Schizosaccharomyces pombe: one gene and its partners. The protein of the gene in region 3 binds, or shares a complex with, the protein of the main gene of each other region. Each region holds a gene or a part of one and is shown on either strand. Other genes may lie near its edges.

What was found.
Region 1: tfb2 (region 3) and ssl1 share a complex: the UniProt entries of both Schizosaccharomyces pombe proteins name them as parts of the 7-subunit TFIIH core complex.
Region 2: tfb2 (region 3) and rad15 share a complex: the UniProt entries of both Schizosaccharomyces pombe proteins name them as parts of the 7-subunit TFIIH core complex.
Region 4: tfb2 (region 3) and tfb4 share a complex: the UniProt entries of both Schizosaccharomyces pombe proteins name them as parts of the 7-subunit TFIIH core complex.

What each region holds. Positions count from the first base shown.
Region 1 is NC_003421.2:381,503-387,359, reverse strand, and holds ssl1 (transcription factor TFIIH complex subunit Ssl1), read right to left. Parts: upstream 3,170-5,857; 5' UTR 2,888-3,169; coding exon 2,670-2,887; exon of another isoform or gene 2,540-2,669; coding exon 1,492-2,539; 3' UTR 1,313-1,491; downstream 1-1,312. Other genes in the region: meiotic pumilio family RNA-binding protein Mpf2, read left to right, coding at 1-1,236; SPOM_SPCC1682.06 (uncharacterized protein), read right to left, coding at 4,222-4,547, 4,593-4,983. UniProt on the Schizosaccharomyces pombe protein: Component of the general transcription and DNA repair factor IIH (TFIIH) core complex, which is involved in general and transcription-coupled nucleotide excision repair (NER) of damaged DNA and, when complexed to TFIIK, in RNA transcription by RNA polymerase II.
Region 2 is NC_003424.3:661,583-668,836, reverse strand, and holds rad15 (transcription factor TFIIH complex subunit Rad15 ), read right to left. Parts: upstream 4,490-7,254; 5' UTR 4,056-4,489; coding exon 1,737-4,055; 3' UTR 1,190-1,736; downstream 1-1,189. Other genes in the region: MAP kinase kinase Byr1, read right to left, coding at 1-684. UniProt on the Schizosaccharomyces pombe protein: ATP-dependent 5'-3' DNA helicase, component of the general transcription and DNA repair factor IIH (TFIIH) core complex, which is involved in general and transcription-coupled nucleotide excision repair (NER) of damaged DNA and, when complexed to TFIIK, in RNA transcription by RNA polymerase II.
Region 3 is NC_003423.3:3,751,500-3,757,305, reverse strand, and holds tfb2 (transcription factor TFIIH complex subunit Tfb2), read right to left. Parts: upstream 3,407-5,806; 5' UTR 3,237-3,406; coding exon 2,914-3,236; intron 2,869-2,913; coding exon 1,848-2,868; 3' UTR 1,589-1,847; downstream 1-1,588. Other genes in the region: glutathione-specific gamma-glutamylcyclotransferase Ggg1, read right to left, coding at 38-649; the13 (acyl-CoA thioesterase), read right to left, coding at 888-1,373; ESCRT III complex subunit Did2, read right to left, coding at 3,912-4,112, 4,165-4,236, 4,292-4,360, 4,403-4,549, 4,752-4,829, 4,870-4,889, 4,930-4,945; protein smp2, read left to right, coding at 5,646-5,806. UniProt on the Schizosaccharomyces pombe protein: Component of the general transcription and DNA repair factor IIH (TFIIH) core complex, which is involved in general and transcription-coupled nucleotide excision repair (NER) of damaged DNA and, when complexed to TFIIK, in RNA transcription by RNA polymerase II.
Region 4 is NC_003423.3:1,316,968-1,322,254, forward strand, and holds tfb4 (transcription factor TFIIH complex subunit Tfb4), read right to left. Parts: upstream 3,610-5,287; 5' UTR 3,527-3,609; coding exon 2,716-3,526; intron 2,654-2,715; coding exon 2,571-2,653; 3' UTR 2,103-2,570; downstream 1-2,102. Other genes in the region: ips1 (GIDA family tRNA uridine 5-carboxymethylaminomethyl modification enzyme), read right to left, coding at 1-1,409; double-strand siRNA ribonuclease Eri1, read left to right, coding at 3,773-3,852, 3,930-4,037, 4,099-4,504, 4,567-4,866; ERMES complex subunit Mmm1, read right to left, coding at 4,985-5,075, 5,120-5,287. UniProt on the Schizosaccharomyces pombe protein: Component of the general transcription and DNA repair factor IIH (TFIIH) core complex, which is involved in general and transcription-coupled nucleotide excision repair (NER) of damaged DNA and, when complexed to TFIIK, in RNA transcription by RNA polymerase II.

The DNA of each region.
Region 1 (5,857 bases), on a different chromosome or scaffold from region 3:
ACGTCTGGCACGTTAAAGCCATACTCACTCAGCTCTTCTCGGAGTTCTTCGTACTCGAAAGGAGTAAATAGTGCCGCCAGTTTACAGTCCATATGGGAAACTATGAATAACTCGAACCCATCTGTCATCCCCGAGTCTACTTCTTCAAGAGAACCAGCTGCCCGATACAGAAAAATCTCTGAAAGGAATGCTGTATATGATTGGAATGTTATAATTGATAAAATTATTGTAAGCAATGATCAGCAATCTTCGATATTCCTTCAACAGAAGCTGAAAATTTCTTCTTATGATATGAAACAAAACATTGTTGATTCCATAATATCTCAAATCCATCCTCTGATGCTTAACCGCTTTGGGAATTTCTTAGTTCAAAGATGTTTTGAGCATGGCACTGCCCCACAAATTCGACAAATGGGATCTGCCATGTTGGGAAATATGTTAAAATTGGCAACAGATCCTTTCGGATGCCACGTTGTTCAAAAGGCAATAGATAATGTGACAGAAGATATTAAACTGGCTATGATGGACGAGTTATTCCTCACTATTGATGTTACAATAATGCACCACTATGCATGCCATGTCTGGCAAAAATTGTTTGAAACGCAATGGTACGAGTATCCAGTTAATGTCATGAATCGCGTAAACAATGCCTTGAGAGGAAAATGGCACGAAGTTGCAGTCGGGGAAAATGGAAGTCTCGTAGTCCAAAATATGTTTGAGAACTGTGTAGAGAAAGATAAGCGTGAATGCATTGAGGAAATCATTTTTCATTTAGACGGTATTGCACGTGGTCAATGGGGAAACTGGGTGGTGCAACACATGGTAGAAAACGGACAAGGAGAGGATTTGAAAAGAGTCATTGATGCATTATTGAATCGTGCAGTGGAATTTAGTATTGACCAATTTGCCTCTAAGGTCATTGAAAAAGCAATTAAGTCTGGCCCAAAAAATTTCATTTCCTTATATCTAAAACAAATTACAAACGCGAGAGTTGACCGAACAAGGCAGCCTTTAATCGATATTGCATCTGATCAGTATGGCAACTATTTAATTCAGCAAATAATTCAACTTGGTCAACCAGCTGAGAAAAACCTTGTCATTACGCATATAAAAAAGCACATGGTTTCTCTTCGGGGAAGCAAGTACGGTCAGAAGGTTGCTTATTTAGTCGAGAAATGGAATTCTCAAAAACAGGTTTCCTCTGTAATCAACTACAACTGCAATACTGACCTCTGATCTGTAAATATAGGGATATATTCATTTCCACATTTTAATTAGTTTTTATTTTATATATGATACAGCTCTAACACTTACTGAAGCATCAATAGATCAAATTTTCACTATCTTCCGGATAAGGTAGTTAAGCAACGATCTCTTTAAATAAGTAAATTGAAATATATATCTCTTTACATATTTGTGAATAAGTAGCATAATAGTATTTTAAAATAATTATTATAAATAAATGCGTTCATTAATATACCAAAAGAAACTTTAATTTCCGGAGCATTGGCATCCATAACACTCATGAAGTTGTTCATGCGCAAAAACATCGCAATCCAAACAAAAATGATTTTTACACGAGGGACATGCATACCGCATCGATGAAGTAGATTCGTCAAACGGTGAAACCGGCGGCTTCGGAAAAGGTAACTGACACGCAAAGCAATGAGTGGACTTTGGATTTGCGGACCAAGGAATTTCGCTCCAGTTTTTCAATGGAAACAAATGATGATAAGATCGAGCAAGATGTGTTGAAAGGATTAGAACGAGAGAACAACTAGGGCATTCGATCGGTAAAGTACAAACTTTTGCTTTACAACGAGGACAATGAAACCCACCACGAGACGGAATTGAATGGCAAGCACAAAGACTTGGCAATTGCTCAACGACCTTAGAAGGAAATCCCATCATTACCAAAGAAGCATCAGTGGTTTTAGCCGAATCAGTAGCAGGAGGTATTGTGCTTTCGAGTAGAAGTTCGCGAAAATGTTGTTCACTGATGACTACGCCGTAGGCATTTTTCGTAGATGAGTTAGTTTTATTACAAATTTCTTTACAAATGGCGACTTCAGCAGCCAAACCAACGATACGGACACGAATAGAATCATGAACCAGAGCATCAATCGTCTTGAAAATGTCGCCAGGGTCTGATGATAAGATGGAACCAAAAATGATAAGGACTTCTCTAGTGCCATGGGAAGCAATGTGTGATAAAGAAGCTCTAGCCATTTCGAGAGCATTTTGAAGAGAGAAGTTTCCACTACAATCTCGAAGAGATTTAAGCTTCTGAATATGCGATTGAGGATTCCCATGCAAATCAGTTATCCGATGAGCGATTCCATCCATTACGCCTATAATCGATAATTGGGAAATAGGATTTTGTTCAAAAAACTCAAGAACAAATTCAGAAGCATACTTTATCTGAAGGTCGAACCGCTTATGATGAAAATCACGCTCCTCCATAGAGTTGCTCAAATCTAACACCAAGACCATGTGTCTAATAATACCTCGTTGTAACGGAGTTGTATCTCTAAGAAGTCTAAATCAGATTGACAAGTTAGTATACCGTTCATCGATGCTATAAAAGACTAATATGTTTCCAAATGCCCAACATAGGCAACTAACAAACAAATGAAGAACATAAGAAAACCAATTTTGATACGCCATACCTTTTACGTTTCCCGCTTTGAATAAGCCCAGCGATAACGCCTACTAAACTACCCTCTGCGTCCTCCTGTACGATATCCCAAGAACGCTGATATTCACCTTCCCAAGTATAACCCTCATTATCGTCAGTTTTCCTGCTTCTTACTTTAACTCTTCCATTTTTTTGTTCATCCTCGCTTTCCGACTTGTCAGAGTCAAAACTTTTTTGGTTCTCATTCATTGAGTGTTATTTTAACCGAGCATAGGTATTATGCCAGAACGCTATTTGATAATTAGATAAATGAATATTGCACAAATTCTATTCCTTGGTTTCTACAGACTAAAGAACTCAAAGCGAATGTATTTCTTCAAGTCACGTTTTACCCAGTGAACTTTTGGTAATTTGAATAGTCGCGTCGAGTTGCTTTACATGCAATGAGCGAAAGTTCTTTCTTTTATTATTTTTAGTTTTATTTTTTTAAAAAGCAATGACTCCTGGGCATACCAGTAAAATGGTAAGACTAAGTAAGTACTAGAACAAGAGACCATTTACACGAAGACAATACGGACAAGGAGCGCAACCATTATTTGTTAAATATAATAATGAATTTCGTTATGCTGCGTTAATTCGTGTTTATCAGTCTTTGATTTGTGATATGAAATTTGTATACAACTATTTCTGTTATTTGAAAAAACTTAGGAAATTATGAAAGTAAAAGAAGAATATAAAATAAATCTGTACTCCTCATTCTTTAAGGATGAGTTATATATCGTATTTTATAAAATTATTTATGGCTCGGTTATTTGTACAAACTGCATATTGCAATATAGTAGAGACTTAGAAATTTGCAAACTGCGTAATTGCCAATATTTTATGTAAAGCTACAAGTGATATGGACATAAGAAGAATAATTACTTTTCGCTTAGGCTGAATGTTGGATGGTTTGCAGGACGAAAGAGTTCATTTAATTGATTTTCTCGAACAGAAATTGGCTACTGACTAGGAATTGCGAAATCGCATTGTTTAAGAAGTTCTCGTTCTACTCCAAGGTCGATTTTTTCGTTTTTATTTGTCTTAGAAACAAATTTCAACTTATATTTGCTGTATATACTGGTTTTTAAAACTCCAAAACTTGAGAATGATGAATGGAATCCTTATTTCGTATATATCCAACAAAAAAAAAGGTTAAATCACTACTTTGCATCTTTTGAGTAATGTCTTAATTGAACAATTTTTTAAGTCGCAAATCTTACAAAGTCACAATTAAGGATTGTATATCAATTTGGTAAAACAATAAAGAGGATGATTAATCTATAATTGACAACAGATTCATTAGTTAAATGAATTTTCCTAGCACCACAAATACACATCGTGTTTGCTCTATAACAGAGACAAAAATAGTGATGACTGTCATCGAAAATGATTAAGTGATGATGCATATAAGATAATAATACAAGGAATAGAAATAAAGGAGAAAAGTGACTTTTGCAAGAAAGTAAGAAAATTAGTGATGAAATAAAAAAAACCCTCGCAACTGTTGGCAGCCCCTTGATTTTTTTCTCTAGCCATGACTTTTAGTTGCTGCCCGATTCTACATCTTTAGAAGTGTTGCAATCGGTTTCCTCAGCCATTGTATTGTCACTTGCTGGCTCTGTGGTAATTGCTTGGCCTCGCATAGACGACATTTCAACGTCGCCAGTCTCTTCATCTTGTTCTATTACTTCGAGCCCGAGAATAAACAACAGTAAGGATAAAATAATATGAGCCAAACCTTGAATTGCTTTAGCTACATATTTAGCTAGGCCTGCAATCGCTTTAGCTAGACCTTCATTCGCTTTAGCTACAGACGGTGCATAAACATAAGCTTCTTCAAACGCTAATTTAATTAACGAAAATGAAACTAGAAAATCGTTAGTCATGAATTCAAATCATCTCAAAAACTTACAATAAACAATAATCACTGTCATCACGTATGTAAATATTAACACTATAGTTTCAATAACATATTTAACCACAGAATTAAGATCCGCCAATGCCTGATCGAAATAATTATAAAAATTATGATAAAGCAATAAAGTAAGAATGAAAGGAAGGAAGATATGAAATATCGCATATCTAGCTTGTGTAAGTCGCACATTTTCCGAACGCTTTCTTAATCTAGCAGGTGCAGCCATTGTATTTTTTTTTCGTAACGATGGTTGTGTTAATGTTGAGTTTTGTTTGACAATTGGATTGTTTACATGATTATTGACTGAATATGAAGGACAAGAATGTAAACAACCCTTCTCCAAATCATTCCAAACTTCATTGTATTGAGGTAACTTTTCGTCTGGCATTTTGAAGAGCCTTTTACCAATAGTGATTATATACGTTTGAGTTTCAACTTGAACATTGCAAAATAAAATGCGAAATTAAAATATAAAATAGATAAATAGATCAAAACCAAACGCTTGAATAGCCTAAAAATCCACGCGTTCTAAGCATCCAACAAAAAGAGATGGCTCTTGTTAAGGAATGAAATTGAATCATTGTGCTGTCAATATCAATTTACGCACAAGTTAGCATTAATTAGGTACTGCGTACCAATACGCTATAATAGCGATGCCTTGCTTCGTTTTATCATACTTTGAAAAGTATGCAACACTAATTGCTAGACAGTGAGCTACACTAAAATCGCTATTAAACATTACGTTACGCATCAAAATACACTACATGGAATACCATGTCAGCAATACTACACTACGCTATGATACACTACGTTGAGTATCACTATATGTCACATGTTCTAATTATATATCGTACCATGTATGATACGATATGGAGATTGATCTTAATGATAATCTATTAAGATCAATATTATCTGAATACTATAAATAGAGCTACTGCTGAACCTCGTTCCTCAGTTCAGTTATGAGCTATATTAGTGATAGGTAACATTATAACCCAGTTAATACAATACCTATACTCAGTTGCTACTTATACAACCTGTGTATTGTAATATAATAGGTCACAAGGAAAACTCACCGCAGTTCTACGTATCCTTAAATCAGATACCAAACTGCGTAGCTTACATACCAATTAATCTCAATTTGTTGAACAATAGCAGAAGACTATATGTTTGTTTACTAAAACATCCATTGATATTGATATAAAATAGTAGTTAAAATTAGAAGTCTAGATTGAAACAGAGCATCATTCTCAGTCCAGTTA
Region 2 (7,254 bases), on a different chromosome or scaffold from region 3:
AGGAGACATATAAGTTGAAGTCCCCACAAACGTTTGAGCAACCGAGTTAACTAGTTCACCTGAAACTCCAAAATCGCATAACTTTATTTCACCACGAGAGTTGACGACAACGTTGCTAGGCTTTAAATCCCTGTGAATGATATGTAAAACGTTGTATAAATAAATGAGACCCTTCACCATAGAATTTATAATTTTTCCTAGAATATCTAACGGAATAGGACCTCCCTCCCGAAGAATTGCATCAAGCGATCCGCAATCCATGTATTCCATACATAATGAAATGTTGTTTTTATACTGAAAAGCTCCATAAAAACCGACTATGTAGGGTGAACGACAGTGGTGTAGAACACCTAACTCTCGCAAAATCTGCTTCTGAAGTTTAGAGTCTGACCCAACATAAACTGTTTTCCTAGCCATAAAAATATTTCTATGCTTTACCAATGAAACAGCCCCACCATTTCCCTCTCCCAAATGCCTCACTACTTCCAAACTGCTATTGTCCAAATCAGATATCCAAGCTGGGCGTCGATTCATATGCGCACATTGCTCCATAAATGCTTCGACATTGGATTCAAAGCTTTTTTGATTGTTAATTAACTCTTCCTTATGATCATTATCAGAGCTTTTAACAGAGGCGTTAGGATTCAACACAAGACCTTTTGGATTTCGACGTCGTTTAAACATTTCTAGCTATTGGCCAAATTCTCAAAGAAACCTGTATCGAAGATTATATCATTTAAGATACTATTAAAGTTGCTTCTTTTTCTGTAATTTGACAGCTGACTGTATTCAATAAGTTACTTTGCTAATCAAAGATACAAAGCAGTAGTTATGACAGGATTCTGACTACCCCAACGTGACTAGAGACAACCCTTGCAATAAGCTACACTTATTTTTTTTTCTATATTTAAGAATTCCTGAAAGCGGTATCCTTTTTGTGCTAGAGTAATTTTTTTATACAGTAGTTTGGTAAAGAAACCATCATTGATCTTATATGTGCTTGGCAATTACGTATAAGCCAACCGTGAATCCGTAAAACCAAAAGATTTTTTATTTTCAAGAAATTTATATATTACATAGAATACAGCAATGAATCAGTTGTACAACCCCAAAACGTTCATTTATTTAGAACTAAGTATGGGAGACTAATTTTATCGACATAAAACTATCAAGGAAATTTTTTAGATTATGAGAATATATTATGAATATGTAAACTTTTGTTTTATGTATCTAAATGATAAACAGATGTTTTGTTTATATAACTAGGCTTACAATTACTGCATCACGTATTTTAACTAGCTCGCTTAATGTAAGCTTAATTTCCATAGCAGCATGAAATTGCCAATAATCACTCTTTGAAACGCTGGATTGTTATTGATGGGATGGAAAATTTAAGAAGCATTACAACAACTGAAACCGATTTTATTTGAACACAGTCTCTAAAAAAATTTTAAAGTACTTCGAATTTAGCGACTCGCAAATTAATTGCCAACTGAGTGTAAATAATATTTTTTCTCTGCTCTGCGATCTTAAAACAATTCGTAAGTAGCATGCGTATCGTGATGACGATTGAAATGTCCACTATACAACTCTCGAATACAAGTTGATACATACATTGTCCACACCTACAAAAAAGTTAGCCATTCGCTTCCAAATATCTTCATCGCTGTGTTCATGAGTTTTGGATTGCCTTAGTAAAGATGATTAGAATCAAAGTATTTTACAAATGGCTTCTATTAAGTTTCAACCACATCAATATCCATCTCATCCTCATGTTTGGATTGTTCTATAGCCGCAGACTTCAATGCTTTCTTCTGATGAATCAACAAATCATCAAGACTCCACCAAGAAATCCCTTCCTGATCAGACGCAGTGAAAGGCTGTGCCATAGTTCGTAAAAATTTTTTCGCCAAAGCGAGGGACATATCAGTGCTTAAATTTGTAGCGCCTTCGGTTATATACTGTTGAATCCATTTAGGTAATTTTGTACGCTTATCAGACCGACCATATCGTTTATCTGCTAACACCATAATTCCATGATCATCTTTTCCACGCAAAACGCGACCTAAACATTGGGCAGCATGCCGCATGGCATCAAATGTTAAGAAATCTGCTTCCCGAATTTGATACGTATCCCTCAGAAATTCTAACCGTGCTTTTAAAACACGACTCTCAGTATACTGATACGGAATACCAAACATGATTACTGCTCTACCATAATGATGATCAAAATCCACTCCTTCTGAGACTTTTCCTCTAGCGACTGACAGCAATACTGCTCCACGGCCATTGCTGCAAGCAGCCCGGTAAGTCTCTAAGGCGAGAGTTGTTTCATGAGGATCTGGTGTTTCCACCAAAATCAACTTATACTTCCAGACTTCATCTAGAATACCCATACTTTGCCAACTAGAAACAATACTTTCAAGGTAGAGATAACTTGGAAAAAATGCGACTAAGCCATCAGGTGTAATTTTCGAAAACTCAACCAGTATATTACCGTAATTGCGAACAACACTAGGATCATTACGGGCTTCAAATTTTGAAGAAATAGCTACTTGATCGCTACCCCGAGTAACTACCATAGGAAGGAAACAGTTTCGTGCAAGTGACATTCCATACGATTCCTGCATAACAGTATTAAACTGCAACATCTTGGGGTACATATCGAGGGGGGATAAAGTACCACTCGTGATAATCACAGACCTAAATCTTTCGAAAACTGGTTTAATAGCTATTGAGGCGTCAAGACAGGAAAACCGCAATATTGGATTGGGAACTGTAGCATTTTCTGTTTCAAAGGGTTCCAAAATTAGGATAAATCCACGCTCATAAGTAGCAACAAGGGTCGCAAAAGCTACTACTTGCTGCAAAGAATGAAAATCTTCAACTAGTGAAATTTGTAAGGCACGAACAAGACTAGTGAGTCGCTCAGCGCAAAACCGAAGCGGCTTTTTGTCTATAAATGTAATGTCTTTAACATGTTGCAAAAAAGAAGTTGGTGTTTCAGCAATAACGTGCAAAACTTTCATCCTTGTTTTTAAATATTCTACAAAACGCTTCAAAAATGCAATAAAATGTTCGGCTCGTCGAATATTTCCAGGAACAGCTTCCTTTAAAACATCCTCAGGCAAAACGGGATTCGCCATAAACTGGTCTTCGTCATTTGCGGCATTAGCATCTTGAAGGCCCCGAACAAGCTTTTGGTATTCATCCTGAAGTTTTTTTGAGTCAGACTGTTTTACTTCGTTGACTTTTTGCTCAAGAGACAAAATGCTCTTCGAAGCTTTTCTCAAAGAAGATTCTGTCAAATCAATACTTAAAGACTCAATACACACATTGTCAATATTGTGTGCTTCATCAAAAACAACAATGCAATCTTTACTGAGTTCTCGAGAAACTCGTTCAGCAATTTTGGGGTCTAGTAAATAATGATACGAATAAATAATAACATTACAAAACGGTAGCATACGACGTACAGTAAAATAGGGGCATCGTGTAGTTTTTTCGCCGTATTCTGTGATATCATCAAGGGTCCAAACACCGTTAGATATAAGGCTGTGTGGCTCAAGATCTTCCAAATTGTCGTGGAACTCACAAGTAGGAACATCCATACCAGCCAATCTTTGCTCCCGCACAAAACCCGCCGTAAGTGAGCGACAACGGGCATCTACCACATTCCCATTTTTTTCACGACGAACAGAAGGGTGTAAACATAAATTTTTGCGACTGGTTAGTCCGAGACCCAAAAATGGTTCTTCATATCCTAACTGTGAAGTCCGATACGCCATTAAACGCTTCAATTCAGCTAATGCTTTATCAATTTCCGACATGGTACGTGAACAATAGATGAGCTTGCGATGCTCAGGATAATGTTGTTGATATGAAACAATAAGGGACAAAAGAGAAATGGTCTTTCCAGTACCCGAAGGCATTTCTAAGAGCGCAATGCCTCCCGCATCCAAAGAATGTTTCAAATCACACATATACTGATACTGCTCGGGATAGATGCGTGGATAAGGAAACAGAATAGGTAGATCGTCAATATAGAACTTCATTATGGGTGTAATCCGTTGACTTTGAGGAAATTAATTTGAGTATATGACAGCCTATTGGACCAAAAAAAAATTTAGGAATTAAATAATAAGATAAAAAGTTGAAACAAAAGAATTATGAACTAGCATTGATGAATAATAGTGGGTAAAGATCGCTTAACAATCGCTTCATAAAAATGAAATGAATAAAGCGAGAAATAAATTTTTATGGGTATTATAAGAATGAGGTAGGTTCTGCTTTGGTTCAATATTTAGTCGTCAATCACTGATACACAAATATGAATAAGTTCACAAAGATAAATAAATAAACATGGGATGGAAGAGGGTAAAACAAAACGAACCAAGAAATAATTCTGACCTAAGGTTTAAGTGAGCTACTTTACAGTGAGAATCTCAGGAGAAACTACTTGTCGATCCAAGCTTAAAGAATGAGTCCTGAAATTAACAGTGGCTGCTTTATATTTGTAGTGCATATAGAACTGGATTATGAAGAACGCTGAGTTGGTACGGTAAACATTTATAAGCAAAATACTGTAAAGTACGTTAAATTGGATAATATTCGTAAATACATGGTGTACATACAACTATACATTGATGGAAATGACATGGTTAATGGAAGATGCAATTGCTTAATAAATACTAGTTTATTGGAAAAAAAATTCGTATTTTCGTAGTTACCGAGCATAAGCGCTACTTTGTTTTCTGAAAACAAGTTTCCGCAATACTACTCCTAAATAAACACAAGGCAAAAAGAATACATTTGCAATATTCCATTTATTTTGTTTTACAAGTCAATTCCCGACTCTGTAGACAAGTGAAAAAGGGCAAACTCACATATAGCTGCTGAATCATTTGCAAACTAATAACCGCTTATTCAAGCTTAATGAATATTATTCTAAAGAGGGAAAAACAAATACATACGTATCAGGATAAAAAATAAAAGGAATTAGAATCGCCAGGTGAGCAATAAACAGCAAGTCACCGAAGAGTTATCTTCTTGAAATCATACAGAATACTATATCAACAGTTTTTGAAATGAATGAAGTGGTTTTTTATTATCCCGTAATCACCGGTTAGTACAGTTTACCGGTTTTAATGACATTCCGTATGTTGAGGAGACAATACGGATTGATTTGCCTGTTCACTTATGTGTAGATGATAAGGAAAAGTGCTTTATCAATTTTTCACGAATTATGAAACCCATCAGCAATCATGTTTAATGAAAACATACCCAAGGTTGACATCAAGCAAATCAGCAGATCGTCAAAACTGTTACGTTTTATTTTACCTAATGTCTCTTGGCAATCTCTATCAATCATCGATGACAAGTATTGTGAAAGATGAAAGATGATTAGTAATGATCAATCTTGATATTTTAAAAATCTCTCCCATTCACTAATTTCTGGCTAATTAATTAACTCACTACACATCTAGTATATCGACGAGTATCCGGCTTTCGGGTATAAAAGAAGAGCATGAAATTCCACGAAAACAAACTTAACGAATCATTCATTAGCGATGCTACAAAACAATATACTGTTGGAGTTTGCCGCTCGGTAACAAGAAAATGGCATTCATAACAACGACCCATTCCAACCGTAATGGGCCATACTGAGTTTTTCTGTGGTTACTCAAAATCGTTGATCAAATTCATGGTAGCTGTTTCTTGATTCACTTTTACTCGGGACTTGTAAAGCCGATTTTCGGAAAAGTGTGATGAATAAATGACGCTGTCGGAAACAACTGGTATTTTTGGGTTGGCGAGTAGGTTATTTTCTACAAAACATACAAATAATACAATACATTGCTAGCAAAATCAATAGTGCATATATAGTACTAATAACAAAGAGTATTTAAAAAACAACATATCGATTTAGCAGAAAAAAATGGGAAGGAAGGTATTGAAATAGAGGATAGATGGCATGGCTCATTAAATGTAGGAAACCAAAGTAAGGATGACTGGTTTGAGATTATTTCCTTACATCCCGTAACATGCAAAAAAATGCAGCAATTTAACACGGTGGAGGGAAAGTATCGAATTTTTTTACTGGTAAATGTAATATATTGGATTGAAACAACTCCGCTTGCCATTATTAAATAAAAAATAATTCTTTTCGTTAACTAAAAAGTGAAATCAAAATTAATTTAAAAAAAAAGAAAAGTTAAAGGAATACTATGCTACCAATATTTCCCTCGAGTTTATATTGATAAAGCATTTAGCTAGGCTTACAAATAAGTTGCTTGCTTCATATATATCTTATTACCTGTTTGATAGTGAAAAACAATATTCAGCCCCAACGGTTCGGTTCCTTTTTGCTTAATTGTACTACCACACAACACAATACAAAGCTTAAATCCTGAACCTAGGAAATGGGTATGCGGTCCGTTCAACGAATGTTGAAGTTGCATCGTCCTAGATAATCCTAGGAGCAAAAGCTTTGATTGCTTGCTCAGCCTTTGCTATGAGAAAAAGGAGTCGATAACTTGAGAACACAGCGATCGGATTTCCCTTTAAAGATGGAAGATTCATTTGTTACATAAGAAATTCATGTCAAAATGATTTCTGTTTACACTGCGTTTTATAGATGTTACTATGTATAGCAAGATTAATTAACATGTTATTGTTATTTGTTATTATGTTTTTAATACTATGTATTTATAGCATCTGTAATGTCTGCGTTTTTCAACTGCCAAAGAGCGCATTTTCTACAAGTTTCGGTTAATGTTGCAAATAACCGATTAGACTTTCATGTCATGACACTTGATTTCACTTGTGCTGACGCTTTTTTATGAACGGCATATCGCTGTTCAGCTGCTTTACCGACATGTAATGGCCAAATCTCGAGCTTGACACTTTGTAAAAAGTCTCAATAATAATTCCCCATCCACAACTGACATACATAATTGATAGTACTTACTAGCCTTTACCCTTGCCAGCCAGACAGCTTCCACTGTACTGAGGTCAGGGATCATGACATAGACTGATTGCAAATTACGAACAAGACCGTCAATCTGCACTTTAGCATCTCCTAAAATAATAATCGTTAAAGCCGACTAGCTATTAGGGATGACGGGAGGAGCAAAAAAATAGCCTGAAAAAAGAAAAAGAAAAGAAAGCGTATTTAAAGAAAGGTTAAAATTTTCTTTGTTCTTTCAATAAGTAAGCAGTTTACTCCTGGTCCAGAAGTGCGACGGACCTTGC
Region 3 (5,806 bases):
TAAAAAATCATCTATGGGTATCAAATTAAAAAGAAGGCTATCGAGTTTTTTGCATTTGCTTCCTAACTTCAGCTTCTAATTCAAAAACATGAATATCTTTTGATTCAGGAGACAGATGGCGTAAACATTTTGCAAGCTCAAATAGATAAACAAAGTTATCTCCGCTCTTTCCTCTTCGTGTAGAAATGATTTTAGCCATTTGAGTTAGGTCGTCTGAGGGCTGAAATTGGGGACTCTTTGAAGTACCCACGTAAACGAGACAATTCTCCAAAACCGGAATTTCATCACCGGTATGGGCATAAACGGGAACACTATGGGCGGTATAACCATTGACTTCTCTATCATCCAAGTATTCTCGCACTTGCGTCGCATATTTTGCAGGAATGCGAAATGCCATACCCCAGCATCCTTCATCAAACGGGGTGAAAGACCAGTCAGAAAATTGCTTCCATTCTTCATAAGGTATCAAGGTGAGAACGAGACCAGGTGAGTTAACAGTGCCCCTATGATCCTCACTACGCATCCAGAATCTGCGAACATAACCTTTTATAAAACATGGAATACTATAGTCATAGTGAGGAGGCGGATGCCAAATTAAAGAGCCATAACCAAACACCCATAAACTCCCTTCCGGACTAAGTGTTTTCATGAGCGAATTCAGCCCAAGTTTCGTTATTAAAAGGAAACCGGTGACTGTAAACTAAAACGCGAGCATGTTCCGAACCATAACATGAGCTTACAATAGATAACGACGGATAGCAAAATCCCTTATTTTAATTCCTAAATTTATGAAAACTGAAAAAATCGTGTAAAACATATCAACATTAGCGAGTAAAACAGAGCAGAAAAAGCGAATAGCCAGAGAAAGATATAAAATATAGGCAGAATTAATCTTCGGCTAAGTCAAGGCAATTTCTAGGATCTCCTAAAGCATTTCGAACAAACTTAGTATGCCTACCTTTAGCAAAGACCTCATTAGAAGATGTCAAAAAATCAACGCTCGTAAAAGCAATGTTTGATCCTAATCGATCACACTTTGCGTGCAGTAAAATTGATGAACCTAAAGTACCACCACTTTGTAAAAAAGTTTGATTCATATCTATTGACACGCCAGAAATAAAAAGCCCTCGACTGGCCAATGCTAAACTTCCTCCCAAATCAGTGAGTGCTGCAATACAACCGCCATGCAAATTACCCATACGATTTAGGTGATGCTTCTGCAGTTTCAGAGAGCATTCTACAAATCCTGGAACTGCACTTATAATTTGTATATCACTGACTACATGAGCATCAAACCCATTGGTATTTACAAAATCCTGCCAAACAGAACGAACGAAAGAAAGCACCTTAGTACCAGAGCTATTAATTGCCATTGTGTCTTAAAACTTCGTTTAACAGGTATCAATCACTGTAAAAGTAAGTACCTCAGGTGAATTGGTTATGTTGTGGCAGTTCTTGGCTACTCGCAGCAGCGATACTTGTAGTTAGTAAGGATTTACAAGCCATTTGCCTGCCTATAGTAATATCACCAAATCATTATTACAAATGGTAATATAATTAAATGAACATTAAATACAAGAATATGAATATTGTTTGGATTATTCAAATAACGGATATTTTTTTTTTCTAATGACGAGAAGAAGAAATTCATAATTTGAACGTTAAAGAGTTGCATCATTAAAACTTGAATTTCGTATAAATATCCAACACGCGTATAGTTAACATGGCTAATGTTGAGCTTATGTTATATATATGTTTATTGACACCAGTAAATTACTTACAAGTGATTTGAGATTAATTTAATATTTTCTAATTACCACTTCTCTTTTGAACCATCCAAAAAATATTCATTTGACAGCTCGTCTTTTCAAGTATGCGATCATGGGCTGGGCGCCTGTCGTAGTTATGAAAAACATTCTTTTCAAGGAACTGTCCCAAACCAAAACCCCGAGTTCTTTTGCGTACTCTACTGCTTGGTCGAAGCCAGAATCAGTAAGAAAATCGCGAAACAAAATTCCAGGAGTAGCCCGAAGTCTATTTTTTTCCAATTCCCATAAATAAATTTGATCTACTAATGTAGGAGGTAAAAGAGGAACATTCGATCTCATCTGAGGGTGAGCATGAGTTGTCAAGTATGTAATAATTTGCTCCGCTGCAATTCCATTCATCAAAGCACGACGAATACTATCCCGAGTTATCACACCGACAACAAGATTTGAAAAACGCGCCCTTAAGTTAGCAAACAATCCGATGATGGCAATCTGTAATGGGGAGCTTGTGTAAGCATATAATCGGTAATTTGTTTCTACAATAATAAAACCTTTATCATCATCATTTTCACTTTGCTTTCCATGCAATGAGCGATAATCAGTTGTCAGACCTGTTGCCAGTCTGGTTGGATAGAAACGCTTGGAAGTAATTTTTCTTTGATAAACTAATCCATATTCTCTTAGGTCTTCAAGCATGATTTGTTGTGTATCTGTTAAGAAGTCCACTGAGTATGCCCTCCCCAAATCCAAACTTCCAAGCATAAATAAAAAGTGCAAAACCTGAACAGGATCCATATGCGTGTCTTCAGATAGTTTTAAATAATCCAAAAGTAACGTCCAAATTTGAGCATTTATATCCTGTAACAGAAACTGAAAACCGGCACGGGTAATACGTAGCTGGTTTTTTGGACCAGACATTAAACCGCCCCGCTTTAATAGACTTAAGACACCTTCTCCAGGAAATTTAGCTTCCGGAGTTCCTACCATGAAGTGCAAGATTGTTTCCCAAGTTTCTTTCGCATATGCGTCAAGAAAATCAACCGTCACCAAGTGCTTGTCTTCATCGGTACATGGCACGCCAAACGAATTGTGATTTCCTCTAAAAAGCTTAATTAGTTTATACTCAAAATTCAATAAAACTTACCCTCCAGTCAGAGCAGTTATAAATTGTTTGCGAAATTCACTATTTAGAGTGATATATTGTCCATCAAATTGAAATATATGCATCCTAACCAGTTTGTTGAAGGATTCAGATTGATAAACTTTACTCGAAAGTTTGATCCATAAATCGAAATCTGAGAGTGCTACTGGCATAGGATTGAAAAGCATAGACATGACATACTGTCTAGCTAGAATTGGCAATAAACGAAACACAGCAAGACAAGCAGCTGGCTTTTGGTAAAGCCTTGCATGATTTGGTAACTGTTCCAGGAAGTCGTTGATACTAGACTTGAATTCTGCTTGCATGGTGACAATTTGCGAACCTACTTCAAAAGGTTTAAATTGGCGGTTGTAATCTCTCTTTATTCAGCTGAATAGAACAAAATCCAGTGTACTCAACTAATAAACTTATTTACGATTATCAATCTTCCATAAATGCCAGATAAGCAATCATCGCGAGACCGAAGGTGGATGGTGATCAAGAGCGAGTCGAATTACTGGTATTAAATAGGCTAGAATAACAAGCCAAAGCTTCCGACAATGACAATAACAATTTTTTTTTGCTGATAATTACATTAACCTGTGTACATATTTATTACAATTCAAACTTTTATGCCCAAGTTGCGAATTGTCGTGATTAGATAAAAACATATAAACAATCATTCATACTTAAGTTTTAAATAAAGTCAGTTTTAAAAAAAAAAAGATTTGTTTTAAATGTTCTGAATATTTACAGTTACGTTAAATATTTACTGTACTATTACTTATTTAGACCATTAGAGATGCATGCTTGGTTGAAATAAACCGCGGGATAAATGACCCTCGAGAGAAAAATAATTTGTTTTTCAAATATCAGTGAAAAACATATAAATCCTTAATCATCTAATTAACTTCTTCCGTATCAGCTGAATAAATTGTGCGTAATTAAACTCTTTCATTTATGCAGCAAAAAAATTTTGTTATTTGGACTGGAATTATACATCAAGACCTTAAAGCACGTAAACGTTCTTGTAAGTTGTCATCTTCTACAGGAGCGGCGGGAGTAGGAACACTGGCAGCAGGAACCGAAAGATTATTGTTCATATTCTGGTTAAATTCCAAACCAGCTTCATCAGCTACCGTTTGCATTAATAAATCTACATCTTCTTGGGGTGTATCGACAGCAGTCACTGATCCCATAGCCTTATATAGTGTTAGTTCTAGTCTTGAAATATGATTAATCAAGGAAACTTACCTTATTCATATAACCCGTTTGAACATTAACATCATCGAATTGCGCTTCAAATTTATCCATGACTTGTGAAATCTGTGGGTCAGAAACATTTGAAAAAAAACTCATTCTACGAGAATTAGGAACTCACCATCTCCAAATTCATTGTTTTCATAGCTCTGTCCATTCCCCGAACGACACCTGCCATATTTCCCGACACCTAAATAGTCAATAAGTATGCCACGTTAAATTGCTAACATACAGCACGCATAGTTACAGCAGTCTGTAAACGACTTGAAACCGCATCTATTCTTGAAGAAAGTTTGAGCAAATTAAGGGATTCTTGCTGCTTCCGAATTGCATTCGATGCATATATGCGGGCAATTTCTGAGTTGCCTTTTGTGATAGCCTAGGTAATAACAGTTAGTAATGAATAACGCCAAAAAGTAAAAAAAAATTTTTATCTAGCAAATCATATGAAGATGGAATAATCGACAAAACCAAGACTCTGCAAAACCACCAAGAATTACAATAGCAATTGATAGATGAGCTGTAAAAAAATTCATTGATAGTGACATGCTTGGAAATAGCAATCATTACAACAAACAAACCTTTTTCACTTTTTCCCGTTCAGCACGCTCCTCTTTCGCAGCTTTAAGTGATTGTTTATTCAGCGACTTTGCAGCAAACTAACGCATTGTTAAAAACAAACTTCAATTAAGAAAATACCTTTAATTGAAACAGAGATGCTTTCAGGTTAATCAATTATCAAAAAAATTACTTACTTACCCTCTAAATTGCTCATTTTGTTTGTAAAGGTAAGCTAGCTGTATAATGCTAATTCTATTGATTGAGCGTCTGCTAGTAAGGCTGATGATTTTTAGAACTTCTTAATACATTACTCGTAATGCATTTTAACAAAATTAAACAACTTCACTAAGGAAGATAGTGGGGTCTAAAATTGACAGTATCTTAGTTTATGATAGCGTAAACACCATAAACAAAAGAATATAATTAGCAGATTATAAAAAATAAGACTTTCAAAAGATAAATAATTAGTGGCTCGATGTTTAAAAATTCAATAACCTCCCAGTTTATTGTTGCCAGTTTTTTTGTAGAAGACGATCTGTCAGCATAAAAATGGATTGATAACACATGAGGAAGTTTAACTTAGTTTGCTTAATATTTTTCCAACTTCTAGACAATTTTGTTAATTACTCAACTTCTCAAGGATAAGCTCAAGAGCAATACAATTTTTATTTTTTTATATTAAACGTTGATGCAAAGGACACCGCTCTTCAACCATGTATTTTGTATCGAGATAAATAATTGAATATGAAATTCTACCTATATGCTTAATAAAATCAAAAATTGCCTCGCATAAACAAAAAAAAACTCGGTGATTAAATACACCGAATCACTTGGTTAGCCGCAAGGCAATATGAAGTGGATTGTAATGTGTTTGTTTACTAATCCATTACACCAATTTTCTTGCACACATTCACATGCAGCACAATAAGGAAAATCATTTTGTAGAGGATGCAAAGCAATTCCAAGAAAAAGCAAAACTCTATCAAGGAAACTACTATACACTGGATGGAGAATTAATCACCATAATACCTAGCTCGAAGGAGGGCTTTCGATCATGCAAATCGCTTTATTATAA
Region 4 (5,287 bases), 2.4 Mb from region 3:
GCTAATGGAGTCAATCTTAAATCAGCATTATCAGCACGTGTAGTTAACCTATACTCGCTTCTCGAAGTGAACACCCTATAAGGTTCTTTCACACCTTTTGTAATAAGATCATCGACCATTACTCCAAGCAAAGCTGTATTTCTCGGTATGTCTACTGGCTCACGACCAAGAGCACTTAAACCTGCATTTAAGCCAGCTAAGATACCTTGCGCTGCTGCTTCTTCATAACCCGTCGTTCCATTTATTTGACCGGCCAAGTACAAACCCTGAATTTTTTTTGTTTCCAGTGTTGCCTTTAGTTGGGTGGGGATAACATAATCATACATAACTCCATAAGCTGGTCTCACAATATTACAATTCTCCAGGCCTGGAATAGACCTTATTATATTGTGCTGAATTTCTTCAGGCATTGAGTTACTGAGACCATTGGGATACCACCAAGAATTGGGGTCCAATCCTTCCGGTTCCAGCCAAATAAGATGTCTTGCTTTGTGAGGGAATCTTGTAACCTTGGCTTCCAATGACGGGCAATACCTTGGAGAAAGAATATCACCAGCAAGCATATGGGGAGCAAAAGCGAGATTTTTCCTAACAATTTCATGCGTCAATTCAGTTGTATAAGTTCTGTAGCAAGAACGTTGTGGCAATGCCGGTGAAAAATCCCTTTCCAAATTTAAAAAACTAAATGTTTCTGGAATTTCGTCACCTGTCTGCTCTGTCATTTTTGATATATTTATGGGAGAGCTCAATCTGGGAGGTGTACCTGTTTTTAGTCGACCCATTTTAAAACCTAAATTGCTAAGACATTTACTCAAAGGCAATGAAGGTCGCTCGCCATATCGACCAGCAGCTAACTGTGTTAAACCAACATTTATTTGTCCTCCTAAGAAAGTACCAGTAGTAATGACTATACAACTGGCAGGAATAGCAGTGCCATCTTCAAGAACAATTGAATCACAAACTTGTTTACCATCGTCTTCTGTCAAAACATTAATAGAGACGGCCGCGCCTTCTCTAACTTGAAGATTTTTTCTATAAGTTGAAATAGTTTTTTGCATATTTTTTTTGAAGACCGACCGATCCATTTGTGCTCTGGGACTCCATACAGCTGGTCCATTCGATCGGTTCAACATGTGAAATTGAATTGCTGATTCATCGCAGACACCACTGACAACACCACCCAAGGCATCTATTTCTCGCATTAGTGTTCCTTTTCCAATCCCACCGAAAGCTGGATTACAGCTCATTTGTCCAATATTGTCGAAGGACTTTGTTAAAAGAGTAGTTTTCGCACCTAATCTAGAAGCAGCAGCAGCGGCTTCCACGCCAGCGTGTCCACCTCCTATCACTACGACATTCTTCCGGCGATTGAAGGAGGTGCAGAAATATCGCTTTGTTGTTCGAAACATTTGTTCACCCCAAATAAACTATTTCAAAAACATACATAAGGACCTTTTGTTAAAGTACCGACAAAAAAATGCACAAAATATATTTGAGTTATGCGTAAAGGTTAATGATAAATTTGTTGTTGAGGTCTTGCTGAAATAAAACGCTATATAGTCGGGAAAGAGCTGTTAAAAAGCACAGTCAATCAAAAATTCTAAAATTAGTGGAAAATAGACATTCAGGATGTCAGAAGTTTGTAATTGAATCTATCAACAGATTAGGCAATGGTTGTAATGCTCCTAAGGTTAATCAGACTAATTTACGTCTGAAATCTGAAGATTTAGAACAAATATATTACAACCTTTTTATTATTTTTCCTTTTTTAAAAACTATGAATATCTGATTGCAGAATAAACGAATTTAAGAAAATACTTTTTTTTTTTCAAGCTTGTCGTCACTTGTGAGTTTGAGAATATTCGGGCAAATAAAAGTAAACCGGCTCTATTAGTATGAATTATCAATCCGCGCTTTTATTGCTCAGTACAGAAATTCAGAGGTTGAGTTACATGTAAAAACCAAGATTCGTAACCTTACTACAATAATCAAACCAATTCATTATAAATTGCATTCATATAGATCTCAATGTAATATAACTTTTCTGATTAAAAAAGCTTAAAAAAAGCCATTGTTAAAATGATCAAGCACCAACATTAGAGATGCAATAGATTATAAACAGTAGAAAGGAAAGTTCCTGTGAAATAATTTCTGTCAGCATCTTCAACATTAATGATTCGTTAGTAAATTAATTAAAGAATAGTATATAATTTCGTCTTACTGCACTGTTTGGAAAAGAAAGAAGCCAATGCAACTTGAAGAAATAATAGAAGAAGCTCTAAGGAAATAAATAATAATAGGGTACGTTGGAATGAATTAGTTGCTTATACGTTAAGTTTCTACTTGTGGATGCCCCTTAAGGAAATAGTTTGATCCTTCCGAAAAATGTTAACATTTCAAGTGTATCAAAATGCCAGAAAGTAAAAATCGCCAAAAAAAAAGAGCTAGACTGTACAAATCACCAGGATAAGGAGATTTAGGTAATGAAAAACAGGGTTTCAAATATGATAAAGCTGTACACCCGGTGTGAGACAAAGAAATATATAGTTTAATAATAATATAACGAATTATCAAGTGTGCAATTTTTTTGACATAGGTTCTACCGTGAATTTGGTATGACAAGTAGAACAATGCACCCGTGGTTCACAAAATACTAAAGAGGTTAGCAAAAGGTCAAATGTTCAAAGCCTATCGTAAAGCTTTGTTACTACTTACTTGATAGACAAACTGAGCAAACAAAGCCAATATCCAAAACCTTTTTGTGGCAAAAACATGTAGCTCGAAAATCAACATTCGCTTGGTTTGGGGTATTTAAGTGTTTTCGAAGATTTTGATCCGGAAAAAGCGACATCATGAGATATTGTAGTAAGCCTTTGGGGTTGTCAACTTTTAAGTAAATCCCTCCTGTGGCATCTGCTGCTTGTTCTAAAAACAGGGTGCCTCCCTCAATGTTGCAAACGTTAATTGGAATATTTTTCTTTTGAGCACAAAATATACAATTCATAGTAGGAATATACTGAAGAGCAACATCACCAGTTAATGAGAAAATTAGAATTCGAGAACGAAGAGTATTTTTATTTTGAACTTGATTGATATATGCAAGGGCTCTAGATAGTGCTCCGGAAATCATCGTTTTTCTTGAAACTTTATCAGTCGAACTCATGAGTCGCTTCATCCCAGATAAAACTAAGTCGTCTACCTCACGAAACTTTCGATACGTATTTGCCTCCTTGGTAGGATCTACTTCTGCGACTTTTTGCTCAGGTGCAATCGAAGGGTATAGGTATTCAACCTTGTCCGAGTGTGAAGCTAACACAGCAACTCTATTATCATGATGAAAAGCTAAGTGTGCGTTTAGAAAAACCGTAATATCTGCCAGTACCTTGGAAACAGGCACTTTTTTGGAAAGGGAGTACCATGAGGCAGGATTTGCGTCTAATATAACTACAAGCAAACTGGGTGTATCATTTGCGTCTTCAGATATATCCCACGAGGCATTTTGTTTCAAAGTTTGAAATTCATCCATCCCTCTTTTTATAATGTGTTTTTTCTCAATGCTTTCCCAACTTTAATACAGGTAGACAACAACCCAGAAAAAGTGTAGGGTTCAAAAAAAGATTGCCAACAAAACAGTGTTATTTCAAAAACATTTATATTCCATTATAATGAAATGGTTTATCTAATGAAATAAAAGGTAAAGTAATTCCAAAAATATAAAAAATTTATGGAGTCGCCAGTGCAGATTTTAGTTTGGCCTTTTCCATGTGACGAGATGAACCAAAAAACACCGTCTACGGTAGAAGAAATTCGTATAGCACTACAAGAACTTGGGTTGAGTACGAATGGAAACAAGTATGTTACTGAAATTGAGAAGCAATTAGTCCGTTTTCTCAGAGTTTATATAAATTAATTATTTACACAGTATAAAGAGAAAAACTGAAACGGCGATGGAAATTTCGTGAAAAACGTCTTGAAGAAAAACGAAAACAAGAACGTTATCAAAAGTTTTCTACTAGTAATGAAAACAAAACTTGTTTGTAGGGTTAAATCATCAATTGTTTAAACATTTTCTATCTAACAGTAACTGAATACTTGTAGACGATACTTGCTAATTGTGGACGTCGAAGCTACATGTGAAGAAGGTTGCGGATTTAGCTTCGAAAACGAGATCATAGAATTACCATGTCTTCTATTCGATTTAATAGAAAAATCCATAATCGACGAATTTCATTCTTACGTTCGCCCATCCATGAATCCTACTTTGTCTGACTATTGTAAATCACTGACAGGAATTCAACAATGCACTGTTGATAAAGCGCCTATCTTCTCAGATGTCTTGGAAGAACTATTCATATTCTTGCGGAAACATTCCAATATTTTAGTTCCCTCAGTTGATGAAATTGAGATTATAGAACCCTTAAAGTCCGTACCCAGAACACAGCCCAAAAATTGGGCCTGGGCTTGTGATGGTCCTTGGGATATGGCGTCCTTTTTAGCCAAACAAGTAAGTGTTAATATAATTTTGTTCGGTTTGTCTCACATTTCGCTAACAAATCGTATTATCAGTTCAAATATGATAAAATGCCAATTCCTGACTGGATCAAAGGACCATTCGTAGATATTAGGTCTTTCTATAAAGACGTTTATCGCGTTCCACGCACAAATATTAATGGAATGCTAGAGCATTGGGGTCTTCAGTTTGAGGGAAGCGAGCATCGCGGAATAGATGATGCGAGGAATTTATCACGAATTGTTAAAAAAATGTGTTCGGAAAACGTAGAATTCGAATGCAATAGGTGGTGGATGGAATATGAGAAGAACGGCTGGATTCCGAATCGAAGTTACCCGCCATATTTCGCAAGCTAATGCTTAAAATTTTTATTTCGACTTCATAATCAATATATTTCGTGGAATCTGGTAGAGATAAATTATCGTTAAAATTCATAGATAAAAAAAATTTCCGAAAATTACGTCAAAAGAATGTTTAATCTTCATTAGATGACTCCTCTTGAGGTGCATGGGACCTCGCATGTCCTTCTTTTGCAGAGGTTGGCCATAGGTTGGGAATTGCGATCCTGTGGGAATTAGTTAGTATGAATCAATTCATACTCTCACTTACTGTTGAAACTGAGGAGAAACACAACGATTAGTAAACCATTGTCGAATCCTTGATTCGATCAATTGTGTAATTTTAGGAATGTCTTGAAGCTTTGACCTAGCTCCCACAAGAGAACTTACTTGTAGCGAGATCACGAAATTGGGGTCAAATGACAAGTTCATATATGCA